3 linked regions of the Rattus norvegicus genome follow. The protein of the gene in region 2 interacts with the protein of the main gene of each other region in a biochemical or structural test. Links are inferred from orthologs where the notes say so. Each region holds a gene or a part of one and is shown on either strand. Other genes may lie near its edges.

Evidence for each region.
Region 1: the proteins of Nxf1 (region 2) and Nup153 form a complex in vitro, tested with the Homo sapiens proteins (2 studies listed by BioGRID and IntAct). The link is inferred for Rattus norvegicus from reciprocal best matches to the Homo sapiens genes NXF1 and NUP153.
Region 3: the proteins of Nxf1 (region 2) and Rbm15 form a complex in vitro, tested with the Homo sapiens proteins (2 studies listed by BioGRID). The link is inferred for Rattus norvegicus from reciprocal best matches to the Homo sapiens genes NXF1 and RBM15.

Annotation. Positions count from the first base shown.
Region 1 is NC_086035.1:18,176,175-18,182,818, forward strand, and holds the start of Nup153 (nuclear pore complex protein Nup153), read left to right. Parts: upstream 1-2,281; 5' UTR 2,282-2,815; coding exon 2,816-2,929; intron 2,930-6,644. UniProt on the Homo sapiens protein: Component of the nuclear pore complex (NPC), a complex required for the trafficking across the nuclear envelope. Functions as a scaffolding element in the nuclear phase of the NPC essential for normal nucleocytoplasmic transport of proteins and mRNAs.
Region 2 is NC_086019.1:215,090,199-215,096,194, forward strand, and holds part of Nxf1 (nuclear RNA export factor 1), read left to right. Parts: intron 1-257; coding exon 258-341; intron 342-421; coding exon 422-526; intron 527-645; coding exon 646-726; intron 727-806; coding exon 807-876; intron 877-987; coding exon 988-1,076; intron 1,077-1,182; coding exon 1,183-1,290; intron 1,291-1,627; coding exon 1,628-1,737; intron 1,738-3,499; coding exon 3,500-3,536; intron 3,537-3,778; coding exon 3,779-3,847; intron 3,848-3,926; coding exon 3,927-3,982; intron 3,983-4,099; coding exon 4,100-4,207; intron 4,208-4,306; coding exon 4,307-4,365; intron 4,366-4,459; coding exon 4,460-4,575; intron 4,576-4,699; coding exon 4,700-4,742; intron 4,743-5,494; coding exon 5,495-5,567; intron 5,568-5,837; coding exon 5,838-5,996.
Region 3 is NC_086020.1:197,638,335-197,645,036, forward strand, and holds the start of Rbm15 (RNA-binding protein 15), read right to left. Parts: upstream 4,364-6,702; 5' UTR 3,496-4,363; coding exon 630-3,495; intron 1-629. UniProt on the Homo sapiens protein: RNA-binding protein that acts as a key regulator of N6-methyladenosine (m6A) methylation of RNAs, thereby regulating different processes, such as hematopoietic cell homeostasis, alternative splicing of mRNAs and X chromosome inactivation mediated by Xist RNA.

The DNA.
Region 1 (6,644 bases), on a different chromosome or scaffold from region 2:
GACCAGGGCAGTAATCGTTTTTCCATGAATTGAGACATATTGTTTGTTCTGCCTCTAAAACCCAGTCTAGATATAACGTGGACTTCTTGGGTGTCACAGTTTTCTGCAATGAACCAACCACACAAATATGAGAGTTGTATTTTTTTCCTCTCTAAATAAATATGCAGGAAATGAATTAAATAACTGAGATCAAGCCTAAACGGGATATGGACTTTTTTCATGAACCCTCAAATTCTATGTTTCTTTTCTTTCTTTCTTTTTCTCTTCTTTCTATTTTTTTTTTTTTTTTACTTTTGTCTGACTTCGGTCAAGTTCTTTGACATAACCTTTCCTTTATTTCTTCATTCTTTCCTGTCTTTGAGAGATAGGTTCTTGCTGAGCAACCCACAGTCCTCCCATCTTGTCTCGAAGGTAAGGTCCGGTCTGATGTTGCTTCTTCTCACCGCTTGGCTGTGGGGATTCTCCCTTCTAGGAAACAGATGCTAGCCTATGCTGGAGACTTGATTCTGCTGGGATGAGAAGGAGAGCTGTAATGAACAGTTCTGCTTGTTCAGTAGTTTTGGGGGACAAGAACATACCTGGAGAGTGTAGGCAGATTGGGAGGGGAGGATACTGAAGACGAGGACATGAATTCCCTTGATCATCTTCGGTGACTTGTCTCAGGGATGAAGGTTCTACACAGACTGTACCAAGAGGCTACTGAAGGGGCTTTGATGTGCTAAAAGGTACTATAAGTTCAAAGGTACTGTAAGTTTTATTAATTTGATTTCAATAGTGATTTGAATTGTACACTTTGGGGGTGGGCTGGTGCAAAAGTTCATGGAGATTGCTTTCGGTAGCTGATTTCTGGTTGGTACTGAGCGCTTTCGGTCTGTACAGCTATTGTAAGCAGAACCATGTTTCCGTTGAGGTAAATATTCATTCTGTTTGCAGATGAGGAAAGAGAAGCTTTGAAAGAAGATCAGTAATCTCCCCAAGGCCACACAGCTAGTAAGTGACAGATTTAAACAATCTATTTGATTTTATAGTTATACACTTTAGAACACTGTTCTCTAATAGAACATTAAGTCGACGATTTTTTTCATAAGCGATTCTTTTTAATCATTTATTTATTTCATGGAAAAACTGGCTTATAGTCCTTCCTGGCTTTGAATGCCCAACTCCATATCCACCCTCTTCCTCTTCATCCCCCCCCTCCCCCCCAAAGACAGTTCTCTGTGTAGCCCTGGCTGTCCTGGAACTTGTTTTGTAGGCCGGGCTGGCCTTGAAGTCACAGAGATCAACCTGCATTTGACTCCTGAATGCTGGGATCAAAGGCGTGTGTCACCAGCCAAACCGATACCCTTAATGGTACCTCTTAAAGTTTCTTGGTTTCCATATAGTCCATTGAAATGACTAGGCTGGATCACATGACCACACAGACCTTTTGTCTAATGCCTGCATCTTTGACACCGTTTATTCAGCCTTTGAGGGTACAGTGTTTAATTACCTTCCAAACTATAATACTAACTGAAGCAAATATGTTTACTAGGAATGTATGAGTCATCCTTAATGTGTGTTGATTGCATAGGTTATAATTGCAATCATTTACTACGTTTCTTGTATACCAGGAAATCTATTAGTGCTCTACACAGATGACTGACCGCACTAGCTCCCCACAACTTTATAAGGTGGATTTTAAAGCTCCTAGCTGGTAGTCATCCAAGGTCAAGTCTGTAAGTAGTGAAGGAACTCAGACTGCAAACACCGTGCGCGTTGATAACAAAGCTCTTATATGATTAATGAAACAGTAACGAAGTTGTATTTTTTGCTTTTGTTGAGACAGTATCTCACTATGAAGCTGAGGCTAACCTCTAACTAGTGCCAAATGCCAATCAGAAGCCAAATGCCTTTTCTACTTGTTTTAGGCCTAGGGATCACGGCCACTGTTAATTTTAAAAGCGTTTTTTTTTCTCTCATATTGTGACAAATTATCGTTCTTTGATTTTTACTGTTTACTTCCATTCCGCTTATAATTGATGAATGGGAGATTACAGTTTTCACGTCGAGTGCCATTCTGAATCTAAACCGCCAACTGCCGCCAAATGACCGGGGCTTTGTGCCTCTGCGGAGCTCCGCGGGTGTCCTTCCGCCGCAGCCTTCCTTTCCGAGAATCCGCGCTCTTGCCAGAAAAACTATATTTCCCAGAGGCACCAGCGACAGAGAGCGCGGGCTCGGCCAACCCTTCCTTCCTTTGCCCATCCCCCCACATCGTCGCAGCGTGATGACGCAGACGCGTCGGTCGCTGAGGAGTGACGGTGTTCTGGCTCGCGACCGCGGCGGCCGCCTCAACAGCGGTAATAGGCGCAAGAGCGGCGGCGACGACGACTGCAGGGACGACGACGGCGGCGGCGGCGGCGGCGGCGGCGGGGCGGGCGCAGCGCGCACAGGGGAGGGGTTGGCGGGCGGCGCCGGCGGCCTGGACTGCGGCAGCGACGGCCAGGGCCGCTGAAGAGGAGCCTCCAGCAGCGGGCGGTCGAGCTAGGCCTCAGCGGTGCCCGGAGCTGCTCGCGCCGGCCTCGGCGGGAGATCTCCATAGAGACGGTGACAAACACAAACGCGGGGGTCCGCACGCGGCCGGCGGTCCTCAGCCAGCTCACGGCCTTCAGCCGCCGCCACTGCCTTCCTCGCCGCGCGAACTCTCATTTCCCGCTCGCTCCCTCGCGGTTCTCGCTGTGTCTGTGTGTCGCCTAGGGCCGGGCGGGGGAGGCCCTCAGGCCGCCGCCTCTGCCTCTCCCGCCCGGGAGCGGTAGTGGGAGGTCGCCCAGGCTCCGCCATGGCCTCAGGAGCCGGAGGCATAGGAGGGGGCGGCGGCGGCGGCAAGATCCGGACGCGTCGTTGCCACCAGGGGCCGGTGAAGCCTTACCAGCAGGGGCGACCCCAACACCAGGTACGGGACCAGCACGCCGCCAGGACTGGGCGGCTCCGGGTAGCCGCTCTGGGGGGCGGTGCGAGGCCCCGGCGCCCCACGTGGAGGGGACCAGAGGGCCTGAGACAGGGCCGGGGTGGCGACGGGAAGTGGGTAGAGCCTGGCCAGGCCTGGCGTCGCACACGTGGGGTGCGAGCGGCCTCTCCCAGCCCTCCCGCCCAGGGGCTTTCCCCGGCGGGCGCAGGGCGGGAAAAGAAATTCCAGGCTTCTGATACTCCGGCTTCTTTTTTGGCGGGTTTTGGGGTTTTGATGGTATTACTCACGACCTCGCGAGGGAACAAGGGAAAGATGTGGCAACAGGCCTATCCGCTGGCAGGCTTTTTCTTTCTGATGTTCCCGGGTTTAGGGTGCGTGGGGAGGTTAATCTGCCACCGGGGCCGGGAGAGACTTGGGGAGGGGGCGCTGTTACCCGGATAGTGGATTAATTCCGTTTTAGCCATATTTAATCTTAAATGATAGTGATAGTTCAGTCCCCTCGTCTGCCTGCTTGGCCTTTCCAGATCTGAACACACTGGTTTAGCTTCTCGTCCTTTCCTCTTTTAACTGAGTTATAGTTATGTGGCACTGAGGCGTTTTGAAAGTCCCTCGCCGCTCTTACGTCTGGTCTCTGATGCGCGATTCTTCCCTCTCCTCTCCACCCCGCTCTGTATTCTGAAGACCAGAATCAGCCATTCTCTACAGTTCACCAGAGATCAACTCTTATCTTATACACCAAATATTTTTTAATACTGGGCATTTTCTAGAAGTGTAAGGTATTTTGGACTCTCTAGGAGTGTTGGTAATCTTATAGGTTAAGCCACCGTATGCCTTCTTAGGGTGTTTATAAAAATGTCGATTTCTGTTGTAAATGAGATATTCGGTTCAGAAAAAAATTTGAGTTTTTAGAAATTGTGAGAATTAAAATGTTAAAAATCCACTTTAACAAAGCCACTTTTACAGGGCCTCGTGTACTAAAGTAGGAAGTGTGTATTTTAAGCTTATTGAAGAAGGGCTAGTAAATAACTTGTTGCGTATTCGTAAATGTAGATTTTTCTTGTTTTATCCTGGCTAGTGCTAAAATTGAATACTTAGCGTTTTTGTTTGGTAATGTTAAATTATATCACTTTCGGGATTTTAAAAAGTAAAGATAGGTAAAATTTTGAATAGTAAAAGCTGTGGTTTATATACTGAGAAGTTATTTGTCCTTGGTTGGAAGCCTTGGCATATTACCATTTTCCCTAGATGTGTGCAGAATGCTGAGGCGCCAGGGGTATTATTCCCAAGCAGATTTTTAAGACGAAGATTTCCCAAGCCTGGCCATTTTACTTTACCTGACACTGTACAGTGGACATTAAGACAAACATACTTTTCTCCTAAGAGTAACGAATCACCTGAATGCTTGTTAAAGGAAAATGAAAACAATTTGAGCAGAGAAATGGATGGCTTGGCTAGAGTTTAGAAAGAAGTCAATATTGTGATATTATGATAGAGTTTAGAAGGAAACAAAAGTTATGATCACAACTTATTTTAAAATGTATTTAGATAAAAAAACTAATTTGAGAGAGAAGTTGAGCCAACTAAAGCCCAATGTGTTTTAGAGCTGATCCAGATTTCAGGTTGTATAGTTTTAGGGCTCAGTAGTTAAGCTGTAACTTATGTAATGTTAGCTTCTTGCCTCAGTCATTTAAAAAGTAAATACATCTTTGACCTGGAATTAAAGATAACTTTCTTGATTTGCTGATTTAATATTGGCAGAATCAACCGAAGAAAAGTATTCGGGATTATATTAAAGAATACAGCTCAGTGTTTGTTTCTGTCTTAAAGTAACTAGTCTTACCTGGAACTTAGTGGATGTCATTGTCCTCTACTAGCAGAGCTCGTCAGCTGGTTTTTTCAGCAGCTGCTGAGTCATCTTGGGTATAGTGAGGAGCTTCATGACATGGCATGTTTCATACTGATGTTTGATAAGTGTCCAGATCTCTGAGCAGAATAAAACCTTTGGTTGTGTAGTAGAAGGTTAGAAGAAGTAAGCAGTGGTGCTATTGGTGGATGCAGGGCAGCAAATGTCTGGCCAAAGAGCTACTGCAGTCACACAGTAGTACCTGTGGCTCCTGTCTCATGTTCAGCTGACTTCTGATTTCCTGTTTTGACTTCTGGTTTAGGTCTTCTGGGAAATGTCTAAACTTTAGCATTTTTCTACTTTTAAGTTTTCTTTTAAAAAAAGCTACCTTGTTTGAAGTTGTCGAACTAGAAAGATACTGTCTTGATCAACCAAATAAAAGTAACAGTTGAGTGTAGAGATAGCTGGATATAGAGGTGCATACCTGAGATCACAGCTGCTAAGAGGCCGAGGCCAGCCTGAACTGTAGGCTGTCTTCAAGAAGTGTAGAAGTAAGAGAGGATGCTGGATGGTTATTTTCACCTACCCCGTTAGCCAGGTACTTTTTAGCTTTTTTTTTTTTTTAAGACAGGGTCCTTCTGTGTGGCTCAGGCTGACCTTAAACCTGAGACCTTCCTGCTTAGATCTCTTGCTTACTTAACCCAGATACTTTTAAAAAACGCATAATTTTCTAGTTGGGAGTTCTTTTCTCCTGTTTAGTCTCCTTTCCTATGTCCATTGTGTGTAGCAAGGCTGCTTTTTTTTTTTTTTTTTTTTTTTTTGGTTCTTTTTTTCGGAGCTGGGGACCGAACCCAGGGCCTTGCGCTTCCTAGGTAAGCGCTCTACCACTGAGCTAAATCCCCAGCCCGGCTGCTTTTTTCCTAATAGATACCACATACACTTGAGCTCCTGAGCAAAACTTACTTCTGGAAGAATCTGTTGCCACATCCTGGTGAGACAGACCCATTTGCTTTTGTCCCTCCCCTCCTTTGGTGCTCCCCTGGCTTGGAGCAAAGGGATCTACTTTTCATCCTTACAGAAACAGGGGTGGCTGATAGCCTGACCATCCTGGTTTAAATCAGTGACTGCGCTCAACTGTTTAAAAGCTGGGGAGGGAAGGAGTTCTCTTCCATCAATATTTTACATCAAGGGTTGATGAATCTTTTATGAAGAAACAAAGCTCTTTTGAGGCTCTGTAGCTGCAGTTTTTTTTTTTTTTCTTTTCTTTTCTTTTCTTTTTTTTTTCGGAGCTGGGGACCGAACCCAGGGCCTTGCGCTTGCTAGGCAAGCGCTCTACTGCTGAGCTAAATCCCCAACCCCGAGCTGCAGTTTTTTTTTAAAAAGGATTATTGGCAAATATTAAAACCATTTTTAGCTTTAAGGTCAGGTCAAAGACTAGATTGGCCCACAGTCACTGGAATCGTAGAACCCGGTTTGTGATAGGATACTTTTTGTTTATTTTGGTACTTGATTTTTTTTTTTTTGATCCAAATAAGTGTGTCCTGGCTAACACTTGATGGCTAAAGAGTATTCTCAGCTTTGAAAAGAGTAGTAATATTTCTCAATATTTTACTCATTCCAGATACTAAATAATTTTACTTTTTGTATCTTAGATACTTAATGCTTTTGGTAGATATAGAAATGTTTTAAAAACATTCTGATGAAATCACAGTAAGTTTGAATCCCTGTTCTGCCTGAGGAGTTGATGATGAAAAATTCTACTTAATTTTGTCATCTGTAAATGGAAGATTAAATGGTATAAAACTGTCAGATGGTATAGTTAGAACTCATTTGAAGTTGTGATTAAATAGAGCCTTG
Region 2 (5,996 bases):
CTGTTCCTTTCTTTAGGAGAAAAAAAAAACCCAGCTACTTTAGGATAGAAGGGCACTACCAGCCTCATGCATGTAAGCATGCTTCCTATCGCTGAGACCTCATGCATGCTAACTGCCTCTGTCAGCCGCATGCATGCCAGGTTAGGCATGCTTTCTGACAAAGCACTAGGAATATTTTCAATCTTGGCAGAAAATACAAAAAGAGAACTGAAATATGCTGGCTTGGTTACATCTGTACCCTTCTCTCTCACTTTCAGATTCCTTATGGCAAAAAGTATGATAAAATGTGGCTTCTGAGCATGATTCAGAGCAAGTGCAGTGTCCCCTTCAACCCCATTGAGGTAAGGCAAAGTTAGACCTGAAAGGCTGTGGAAGGGCCTGTGGACTACAAATCTAATATTCTTTGTTTTCCTTCTTCCAGTTTCACTATGAAAATACACGGGCCCAGTTTTTTGTGGAAGATGCCACTACCGCTTCTGCATTAAAGGCTGTCAACTATAAGATTCAGGATCGAGAAAACAGAAGGGTATGAACAAAGGGCCTGGCATGGCACAGTTGGCACTGATGCGCTAAAAGGGACTAAGTCTTAGTGCTGGTGATTAGGCTTCCCTCAAATACACTCTTGCCTTTCTGTCTTCTCTTCAGATATCTATCATCATCAACTCTTCTGCTCCACCCTATATTGTACAGAATGAACTGAAGCCTGAACAAGTAGAGCAGCTCAAGGTAAGGCTGGCTCAAGTGACAATGGTCCAGCAGACTTTAAATCTCCATCGGTGACCACTAAACCCTTTGTCTTCCTTTAGCTGATCATGAGCAAACGATATGATGGCTCCCAGCAAGCACTTGACCTCAAGGGCCTCCGCTCAGACCCAGGTATGACTGACAGCAATGATCCTGACTAAATGGAGAGGGGGACAATTGGTCTTTATAACACTGGTATGAGCAAGCCCTCTCAGACTTCCTTTTTTTTCCTGCTTGCTAAAGATTTGGTGGCCCAGAACATCGATGTTGTTCTAAACCGTAGAGGCTGTATGGCAGCCGCCCTGAGGATCATTGAAGAGAACATTCCTGAGGTGAAGCTTCTTTTTTTTGCATTAGAAAGCAGAGTGAGATGGGTAGGATAGGATGAGGGACAAATTTGCCTTGTGGTAACACATCTAAACTTTGTTCTATTCACAGCTATTGTCTTTGAACTTGAGTAACAACAGGCTGTACAAGCTTGATGACATGTCCAGCATTGTACAGAAGGCACCAAACTTAAAGATCCTGAATCTCTCTGGAAACGAAGTAAGACGGATCCCTAGTGGTACTTTGGTTTAATGGTTACTGGTTATGAATGGGTGGAGGCAGACTGTATGGGAGTTGGTTCTTCCCTTCCTCCCACTGTGAGTTCTTGGACTGGAACTTGGGTTGTGAGATGCTCACAAGGCAGGAGCTTCTGCCCACTGAGCCATCACACTGACCCTTGGCTGTATTTCTGTGGTGGTGGAGAGCGAGAACAGTTTGGCTGGCCATGGTGGGAAGCAAGAAAGAAAACTTAGGTTGTATTTGGAAACATGGGGATCCAGCTGCTATCCTTAGTAAAGTCCGTTTCCTGCCTCTTTTCTTCCCTCATCCTTCACAGTTGAAGTCCGAGTGGGAATTAGACAAGATAAAAGGGCTGAAGCTGGAAGAGCTGTGGCTTGACAGAAACCCCATGTGTGACACCTTCCTAGACCAGTCCACCTATATCAGGTCAGTTGTAGCCTCTGTCTCCCCTCCTGGGGACATTCACCCCCTGGGAGGCTGAGCTAATGCACCCTGACCAGTACCCGTCTACAGGAGAACATGCAGCCCTGAGCTGGAACCACCTGTCCTTTGGGAGGAGGATCCCGTACTCCTTTCTGCCTGTCAATGTCTCCTAGCTTTGTCCTAGATCTCCTCTCCTTTCTTCTCACCTGACTACTATATTCTGATTCTCTGGCCTTTCTCCTTCCTTCCTGAACACAGCCTTTTCTAGAATCTCCCTACCTGTTATTCCAGGAAGGATACCTCTTCTTTTCTGTTCTGATGTGGAGGTGTCTTATATATGTCCTACCTGTGTGTTTGTCTTCAGCCAAAAGCCTAGAGTACTCAGACTGAGAAAGCCCTCTCTTACTGAGATGGGCCTTCCTTCCTTTGCCCTTCGATGGTCCCTCTTGCCGTTGTACCAAGAGGGACTCTGTTTTCATGACACACTTAGCCAGGGCTGTTGCCTGGTCCTTCCTGCCCATGACGAGGTTGGTGCCTCTTGCAGGCTGGCACCATGCTAGTGGTCTCTCTTGCCTAGTGCTGTGAACTGGGCCCTTCCTGGAGAAGAAACCTGGGTTCCCTAAGATGTGACCAAAGCCAGGGACCCCGCCAGCAGGTGAGGGGATCCCAAGGCAAATGCTGGGCGTGGAGGCCATAGGGGCATCTGCTACCAAGGAGACAGAGAAATGACCCTGTCAGGGGCATGGCTCCTCCCTCACTCGCACACCTCACGTCACCCTGCTTGGCCCCGGAGATGGCTGGTTAGCCAGAGACGGGTAAGATTCCTCAGGGAAGGAACAACCTAAGACAGGCACAGTCGCATAGGGGCCATCAGGAGAAAACTTGGGGGCCAACTGAGGTGGGGCACAGACCCTCACCCCCCCAACTCGGCAGAGGCCTGAACCCTTCTGAGGGAGGTCTCCTGACCCCATGGCTGCTTTACCTCCCACGCCCAGCTCAGACCGGGACCCATGGAGCAGACAGAGACCTGGCCAACAGCAACTGCAAACCATTATAGGACTTATTCTCCATTTCTACCTTGGGACCACAGGAAAGGGGCAGCTGAAGGAAAGGGCTGTATCAGGAGGTCTTTCTTTCTACCATTCTTTTCTGAATGCCTCTGCCTTCAGGTCTGTCCCTGTTGCTTTACTTCCTCTTTGTCTCTCCATCTCTCTTTTGTCCTTGCCCTACCTTTCTCCATTTCTCTTCTTTCCCTTGGTCTCTTTTCTTTCCTCCTTTCTTCTTGAGCCCTGTCTTGTTCATCTCCTTGCCCCAACATCCCGTGCCATACTTGTGGTGTGTTCTGGTCTTGGCGAAGGCCAGACCTGGCAGAACTGGTGGATACCTGGTGAGGCAGCAGAGCCCCTGGGCTCCCACCCCATTCCCTCCTCCCGGGGCTGCACAGGTGAGTAGGTGGAAGGTAAGGGGGGAAAGGTGGGGAAGGCAGCCCTAGGCTTAAAGCCTGGGCTGAGAGTGTCCTTCTGTGGCACTTGGGATCAGGCAGTGAGACAACAAAGTCAGCCTTCAAGGCAATTCAGAAGGGGTGCCCCTGGTGAGGAGGGGAATGGGTGTTCTTGTCCCCAAGTTTAATTTAAGCTGGGGAGGAGGGGGCGATGTACAGGATGGGATGGGCTGTTCCTCGGGTTTTTGGTGTATTTGCTCCTAGAGCAGCCCAGGAGGCATGATGGCTCTGAAGCGTCTCTCACTTCTGTCCCGTTCTTGACAGCACCATTCGCGAACGATTTCCCAAGTTATTACGCCTGGTAAGTTTAATACTGTTCTCAGTAGCAAGGACAGCCAAGGTCTTGCCTCTATTTTGTGACCATCCATGTAGGTGTGGAGATTTCTTTGAGAATCTGCTAACAGTGGAAATCATCATCCTAGAAACGCTTGTTGACAAAGTTTATATAGGATCCCTGTATACTCTCCATGCTTTAGCTTTTCTGTATGCTTACAAATCCCGTCTTTGTTCTGTTTCTCATGTTACATTCACTTCTTTTTACAGGATGGCCATGAGCTACCCCCTCCAATTGCCTTTGATGTCGAAGCCCCTACTATGTTACCACCCTGCAAGGTCAGAATTGGGCTTAGAATTAGAGCTGTGTGTCGGATACATACTGGTCCTGTGACCCTAACATCTTGTTTGATTTCAGGGAAGCTATTTTGGAACAGAGAACCTAAAGAGTCTGGTCCTGCACTTCTTGCAGCAGTAAGTTTCCCAGGAGCCCTTAGTGCTGGGGATAATGGCTGGTCTGTGCGTACTCACTGCTATATGTGTCCTTTTGGTTCCAGACACAGAATTCAGACTCTTTAACTTTCCTTACAGGTACTATGCAATTTATGACTCAGGAGACCGCCAGGGTCTTCTGGATGCCTACCATGATGGCGCCTGTTGCTCGCTAAGCACTCCTTCCAACCCTCAGAACCCTGTCCGGTAAGTGTCACATGTCAGAACCTATCCAGAACCAAAAGATTATTTGGGAGATACAGGCCACTGATCTGACCACCACCATCATTCCCTCTTATTTTCCAGACACAACTTAGCCAAATACTTCAATGACAGCAGAAATGTGAAGAAGATTAAAGATACCAGTAAGTTTATTGTGTGTGCAGTCAAAATGGGAATCAGTAGAGCTAGCCAGTGTGGATGTGCCCTAACCGTGGTTTCCCTTCCTTCTGCTTGTAGCCACGCGGTTCCGGCTATTAAAGCATACACGTCTTAATGTCGTTGCCTTCCTCAATGAGTTACCTAAAACTCACCATGACGTTAACTCCTTTGTGGTAGATATAAGTGCCCAAACAGTAAGTACATATGTTTTCCTAATGAAGCTCAGAAGTGGGGTCATGAGTTCAGCATTCACTGGGTAAGGAGGCTCAGGCTCCGGGTTGGGAACCTCCATTACTTCGGGTGCTTTTTCTCTTTCAGAGCACATTGTTGTGTTTTTCTGTCAATGGAGTCTTCAAGGAAGGTAAGAATTTTGAGTTCTGAACCTTTCTCAGTATCTTTAGTTTCCTAGCTGACTTCTCATCCCTTTTCTTCTCCGACCTCTGTCCTATTTTGCCCAGTACATCTTGGTTTGGCCTTAAAACTCTTCCACCTGTCTTACCTGCAGTATGACAAAAACCTGGGGACCCAAACAGTGTAAGCGTAAGAGTCAGGCAGGTCTCCATTTCTTTTTTTTTTTTTTTAAAGAATTATTTATTTTATGTATATGAGTACACTGTAGCTGTCTTCAGAGGGCATCAGATCCCATTATAGTCGATAGCCACCATGTGGTTGCTGGGAATTGAACTCAGAACCTCTGGAAGAGTAGTCAGTGCTCTTAACTGCTGAGCCATCTCCCCAGCCCAGGTCTCCATTTCTGTCCCTGTGTTAATGCTGTGGGTCTGGGAAAGTTGCAATACCTTTGAATCTTGTTCTTTTTTCTGTTTTGTTAGATGATTTCATAATACTTTTGCACAGTGGTACTTCAGGAATGATTTCAGGCACTTTGCCAAGCTAGGCTAACACTTTTAAATTGTTTTACTTCCTATAGCACACAGCAAATTCTGTTATTATCTGATCTGTCCCTTTATCCCACCTCTGTTTCCTTATGACCAAATAACCCTCCTTACCTGACCAAGTTAGGAGTCTCTGTGTCAGACACCGTGGTGTGAGTGATAATTGTAAGATCAAGCCTGAATGGCTTAAGGAGCCATTGCCACACTTCTCTCATTGCAGTGGACGGGAAGTCTCGAGATTCTTTACGTGCTTTCACGAGAACGTTCATTGCTGTTCCTGCCAGCAATTCAGGGTAAGTACTCAGCTTATCAGTTTGGGTATTATTTTCAGTCCCAGGGTAGCAGTGTGATAGCTGGAAGGTAGAGATATTCCTTAGGTAGTTTTCAGAATTGCAGAAAAGCAATAGAAGTTTATGAAGTGAATAGCAACTCTTGGTGTGTTAGGGAATGAAAGGGAACATGGGAGGGAGGGGCATGTGGATGTTAACCAGATCTGAGAACAAAGACAGTGTAGAAAGATGAGGTCATTTGTCCGTTTATTTAAGATTTTTTTTGTCCCCAAGGCTATGTATTGTAAATGACGAATTATTTGTGCGGAACGCCAGCCCTGAAGAAATCCAAAGAGCCTTCGCCATGCCTGCACCCACACCTTCTTCCAGCCCAGTACCCACACTCTCCCAAGAACAGCAGGATATGTTACAAGCATTTTCTACCCAGTCTGG
Region 3 (6,702 bases), on a different chromosome or scaffold from region 2:
TTAAGATGTAAATGGTTCATAACACAAGTCAACTTTTACCAATTACTGCTACAAACATGGGATACAAAACTCAAAAACTAATGATATATTAAAGCAAACTTTCTGGGAATAAACTGTGTATATAAAGAAATACGCAAACACCTGATTAAAATAATTGGACTTTGCCAATACCTGATCAAATTTTAGTCACACAATGCTTCTAGTATAAATTATCTATGCACCAATCAAATCATTTTCAGTACAGTGTAAATATTTTCAGAAGGTTCCTTTCTCCAAATTATGATTTTAAAAATTGTGGGTTTATCATTTTGAGGATTTTTTTTTTTTAAAAACTCAAGATTGAAAAAGAAAAAATAAAAAACCTGAAGAAAAAGAAAAATTATCAGGGTAAGAACTCCTAATTAAAGCAAATCTATCTTCCTGCTACCTTCAGGGCATCCCTTTCACTTAATAACTAAACTGCCCCATTATCTATTTTAAGGAGGTTTACAAAAATATATATATAAAAAAAAACCAACTAAACTAAATGAAAGAAATTTTCATCTGATGCTGTATCCCATTACACATCACAAAACAAGGAACCATGTCAAAGTAGTAAATACAAGTTACACATGGACTTTAGGACGCACCACGGACAATGATCATGACCAGGTAATCTTCTTCAGATTTGGCCAGTGCCTTGGCAGGGGAATCCAGGAACTGCTGAGAGAACTCACAAGGTGGGAAGGCATGAAGAACCCCGGTGTTTTCCTTGTCTTTATTGCCTCCCACAGGGAGGCTGATCACCCCAGCTGCCTGCTTTTGCTTTAAATAGGACACAAGGTTCCTAAGTGGCCTCTGAGTAGAGGCGGCAGTGTCTGATGTGGCTGAGGAAGAGGAGGATCGGCTGTCAGAACTTCCAGGTACAGCTAGGAGAATGGCATAACCATTAGGCCCTGCCACTTTGATGCGTCGAGTTACTTCATCCAACTTGGGCTGGTCCAAACGGAGCCGCTGAGTGATCTTGAGCTGGGCTACTTTGCCTCCAGTGGAACCCTCCACAAGTAGACTGCTAGCAACTTGGAGGTCACCCTGCAATAGATGCATGTTGGAAGGGAAGTTGCTGTTCTTCAGTAGAAGCATGCCCTGCCAAGCCAAACAGAGTTTGGGAGAGGATGCTGCCACAGGAGCTGTCCCTCCATCCTGTTTCTGGGAAGGTGGCTTCTGCTTTGATGAAGAAGTGCTGGCACTGGGTGTATTGCCATCAGATCGGTCTTCCTTTTTCAGAGGGGTTTTTCCCTCTGTGGGAGCAGCTGTCCGGTGCTTCCTATCCCGTTCAGCTGATGCAGAGTTTTTACGGTCTCGTTTGTCACTCTGGCTCTTCTCCAAACTGCCCCGTCTATCTCTGACTGGGGAAGGCCTTTCCAAGAGTAGAAGACGAGATGATCGATCATTGTCACTGTTGTAACGATCTCTGTTACTGCTCAGTTCTGGACTTCGGTCAGGAGAAGGAGTGCAGTGACGCTGTTTTCGAGGCCGGTCACTCTCGGGTGATCTATCAAGATGCCGTCCTCCACTTTCCTCAGGCAGCCTTCGCTTCCTTGGCTGGTCCCTGCTGCTAGGCAAATCCCGGTCACCTCTGTCCCTGTCCAGTGACCAGCCATCCCTCCTTCGATCCAAGCTATCCAGTGGCTCATAAGCAGTGACGGCACTAGTTGCAGCCCGAGCACTGCGTTCCCGAACCGGTGGCGGGGGTGGCACCCAATCAGAATCGGGATAAAGGTCCCTATCACGATCTCTGTATAGTAAGGGTGGTGTCCGGTCCCGAGCACTCCTCAAAGGGTCAGGTGCTCGATGTCCAAAAGTATCTGTCACTAGTTCATAATGGGTTAAGGGCAGAGGCTGAAGATACTGCTGCTGGTAACGATGTTCTGTGTCTGCAAAGTCTACCCTAAGGCGACGATCTGGGCCACCAAGTGGGAATCCACGCATATGGGTCCAGGCAGCATGAGCTGCATCCAAGCTTTCATACTGTATATATGCCCAACTGTCACCTTTTCGGTAGTCTATGGTTCGAATGGTGCCAAATCGATCAAATTCTCGTGCCAGGGCAGCAAGAGGCACCCAAGGTCCCAGACCACCCACCCAAAGTCGGGTAGTGGGTGTGGCTTTCCCATAACCAATCTTGATTGGATTCCGAATTATAATTTTGCCAGACATTGCTATTTTGGCCCTGTGAGACATGTCTAGGTTCTCAAATTTGAGAAAGCCGTAAGTACTGGTCTGGCCACGAGAAGGCCTCTTAATGTCCACTTCTGTGATGACTCCAAAACGATCAAAAGCCCTTCTCAGATCATTTTCTGTCACAGTGATATCTAAGTTGCCCAAGAAAAGTGTCCGGTTGGCACGCTGATCATCCTCAGGTGATATCTCATCCACTTCTCGGAATGGAGCAGCACCTGCTCCAGCTCCCACCCTCGGCTCAAGACTATATGCTGGCCGCACTCTGTCATAGAACGGATAGTCTCGTTCTCTTTCCAGCTCTCGGGGCAATGGTGGCGGGGGTGGAGGAGGCAGGCGGCCAAGAGCCAACTGCTGCAACCGGTAGTCTCTGTATCCCAAAGCAGCACCGCCAGGAGAAAGCGATCTCTGACCTCCACCTCCTCCAGGGGCGTGCCTGTGGCTACCTACAGAGCTTCCGACCACGCTGGACGACGGGGCGTAAGTATCTTTGTCTAACGGGGAGCGGCTGCGGCGCCGGCTCACATACACGGCTTCTATCTTCAGAGGCCGGTCATAGAGCACCAGGCGGCCTCTGGCATGCTTGGCCGCCCTCGCGTCCTCTGGCCTCCGGAAGTTCACAAAGGCTACCCGCTCATCCCCGCTGCCAGAACCTGAGAGATGACTGATTTTGACACTTACATCACCGAAGCGTTTGAACTCGTGAAACAGTCCGTCCTCCACCGCTTCGTCACTCAGCTGGGACCCCAATTCGCTTATCTTCAGGGTCTTGTACTCCACGCCGTCCCCGCCGCCAGGCGCTGAGGAGGCGGCCCCAGAGGAACGTGACTCCCCGCCTCCACCCCGGGAGCTGCTGCGCGACTCGCCCCCGCCTGAGGAATTTTTGGTGCTTGGGGAGCTGTAACTATGCAAGCGGCTACTGGAGCTGCCCCCACCGGTATCATACTCGCGGCTGCCGCCTCGGCTGCTGGACTTGTCCAGATGAAGGCTCCGCCGCGACCCGCCGCTGTCCGTCTTCCCGCTGCTGCTCCCATTGCTGCCGCCAGAGCCCCCTAACTTCTTGCTCCGTTCCCCACGAGAACTGGAGTCCTCACCGCCACGGGAGCGTTTGGGCTTGACTGGCGAGCGCTCCTTTCCTTTCATTGTTGAGGGTCGCCGGAGGTCGTCTCTGCGGAGCTGACTAACCCGCCACCCCGCGCTCGTTTCACACAGCGGACTCGCACGCCGCCATCTTGGACTCCGCCGCGGCAAAGGCTCCCGCCCCGCAGACCTCATTGGTCAATTAATTCACTCTTCAGCTTTCTCATTGGAAAAACTATTTGTCCGTCTTTACATCTCCCCGCGCTCCGGGAAGGCGCCCGCCCCGACGCTGTTATTGGGTTCCCAACGCCCTAATCGCAGTACCTCATTGGTTATATTCGTTGTCTATCTTAACGGTTCCTCGCGCCAGGCTGTAGCTCCGCCCCTCGCACTTCATGGTCACCTGACCCAAAGCCTAGAAGCGTTGATTGGACAAAAAGTCTGCCCTGTAACGGTACTTCTAGCACGGCGAAAGCAGCGATCCCACCTTCTCTTCCCTTTCATTGGTTTATGGCCACGTCCTTTAAATCACTACTTGGGAAGTCTGGACATCAGTTCAGGCGTTTTTCCCTGAGAACTTGGCTCTCTCGGATCTCGCGAGAGACAAAGAGCTCGCTCGCTCACTCGCTCGCTCTCTTTCAACCCCAGTCTTCCAACTTCTCCGGCGGCTGAATAAAGTTTAAATCTGATTGGATGTTGACGAGGAAAATGATTGGATAAAAGCGCTGTCCATCACTCACTTAAAGGAGTAGGCCCATAAACTGAGGAGTCTGAAGGTGAAAGACTCTACCACGCGCTTGCTGTGCGACGTCACTTAGCTGTCGCGAGACGGTGACAGTGAGTCAGGCCCGCCTCCCCGCGCTTTCGGCGTTCTCTTAAACATTTGTTAGGTCCTACGGCGTACTTGCCTGTGCTTCGGTCCTTCGAGTCTGGAACTTGCGGGCTCCGCACTGTCCTGTCTGGGCGGGACAATGGGCTCGGTGGTCCTTCCGGCTGCTGGCCCTCGATCCGCTTAGGCAGCTGTCCCGGGAAGTCCAGCCGACACCATCTTAGTTAGCAGCCTGAAAAAGCCCCACCCCCGTGCGCGAGAAAGCGCCTGCCCCGGTCTGTGCGGCTGGCTGGGGCGGTGAGTTCAGGGTTCACTGAGCCTCGGGTCACGCTGACGCCCTGGGCGGTACCGAGTCACAGCCCGCCCGCGGACATAGGAAACAGAGCGCAGCCCTGGCCGCCTTGGGCCCGGCAGTGACCTACACTCCGGGCTTCCGGGCCTACCGACTGGTCTGACCTGCAGGACCACTTGCAGGCCTTTTTTGCTTCCTGATTTATGTTGTGAAAATGTGTAGGATTTGCATTCATAAAAGATTTGTGAAAGGTAGCTGTGCTTAGCTTTAATATGTAACGCTTCTCACTGTGCGGGTACTACATTTATCTCGTTTCTTGGACCTCAGCACTCCGATTAATCCATATTAGGATCCAGTAACATGGCCACCTTGTCCCCTCCTAGATCCCCCTCCTTTGACTCCTTTAACCCTGATTCAAATCTAAACGTCTCCCCGCCACCAACTTCGGTGACCCCATGCATCTGTAAGGAGTCTCGTAAGCTTGTGTAATACTGGTGATCATAAGATTAGATGGGTAGGGGTTGGGGATTTAGCTCAGTGGTAGAGCGCTTGCCTAGCAAGCGCCAGGCCCTGAGTTCGGTCCCCAGCTCCGAAAAAAAGAAAAAAAAAAAAAAAAGATGGATAGTCTATACCACTGGTGCTTACCTCCTGGTGAGGGGAAATAGGCTTTTTTTTTTTTTTTTTTTTCTTTTTTCGGAGCTGGGGACCGAACCCAGGGCCTGGCGCATGCTAGGCAAGCGCTCTACCACTGAGCTAAATCCCCAACCGCGAAATAGGCTTTTTTGCAGTCTCCCCAAATATGTACCTTGAAGACATTAGAAAGATTCTGGTATTCCCATCTTTTAAGACTGAGTTGAGAATGTGTTTTAAAACAGGACATTTTACAAGGTGATAAGAATGCCCCCCCCAAAAAAAACCCTTAATTCTAAATTTAAAAGCTATTTGAAGACTAGATACAGCAACCTGATTAGCCCTATTTCAGCCGATTTGTTTTGTTAGTATATAATCTTGAAATTGGTGAATACTTGGTCCAAAATCTCTTGATTACATCAAAAAGATTTGAAAGAAGCCTGATAGGTAAATTATAAACCCCAAAATACTATAAAGCATAGACATACTTGTATTAAAAGTTGCTGTTGTGTGGCTTTTGGAGCACCTATATCCCAGCTACTCTTGAGGGTAAGGATCATAAATTCTTCATTAGCCTGAGTAACTTGATAAGTTGGTGAGATTCTGTCTTAAAACCAACCCCACACAAAAGAAGTCTGGAGACACAGTTCAGGAACCTTGGGCACCTAAGTGAAGCTCTAGGTTCAATTCTTAGTGGAAAAATATTCTTTTTTTTAAAGCACAGTATAGAGTTTATTCAGGGCATGGGGAGGGGAGTTAAGAGGATAGGAGAGAGAGAGAGAGAGAGAGAGAGAGAGAGAGAGAGAGAGAGAGAGAGAGAGAGAGAGAGAAGTTGAGGCTGGCCATGAGCATGTGGAGAGCAGGGCGAGGGAGGGAATGGGGAGGAGAGATTGGGGGCAGGAAGGCAAGAGCAAGAGAGGAGCAAGAGAGAACCGGAAAAAAAATATTCTTTTAAAGATTTTAGCAGGCCTGGTGATGTACCCCTTTAATCCTACCACGTGAAAGGCAGAAGCAGACAGATCTTGCTGAATTCAAGGCCAGATTTGCTCTTTGCTGCCAGATCTCCGCCATCATGTAGGCTCCGGCAAGGGCCTGTCCCAGTCGGCTCTGCCCTACATCCACTTAAGCCCTGCATCCTGAAGTGGTTGAAGTTAATGTCTGATGACGTGAAGGAACAAATTTACAAGTCGGCCAAGAAAGGCCTAACTCCCTCCCAGATAGGTGTGAGCCTGAGGGACTCACATGGTGCGGCACAGGTCAGTTCTTTTGTGACTAGAAATAAAATCTTGAGAATCCTTAAGTCCAAAGGCCATGCCCATGATCTTCCTGAGGATCTCTACCATTTGATTAAGAAAGCAGTTGCTGTCCGAATGCACCTTGAGAGGAACAGAAAGGATAAGGATGCTAAATTCCGCCTGATTCCGATAGAGAGCAGAATTCACCGGTTGGCTCCATACTATAAGACTAAGTGTATGCTCCCACCCAATAGGAAATAGGAGTCATCACAGCCTCTGCTCTAGTGGCATAAATGCTGTTGTGTACATAAGCACTTTGAGTAAAAAAAAAAAGACCAGCCTTATCTATATAGTGAATACTAGGCCTGCCAGGATTATGTAATGAGACCCTGTCTTTAAATATTTATGTGAATATC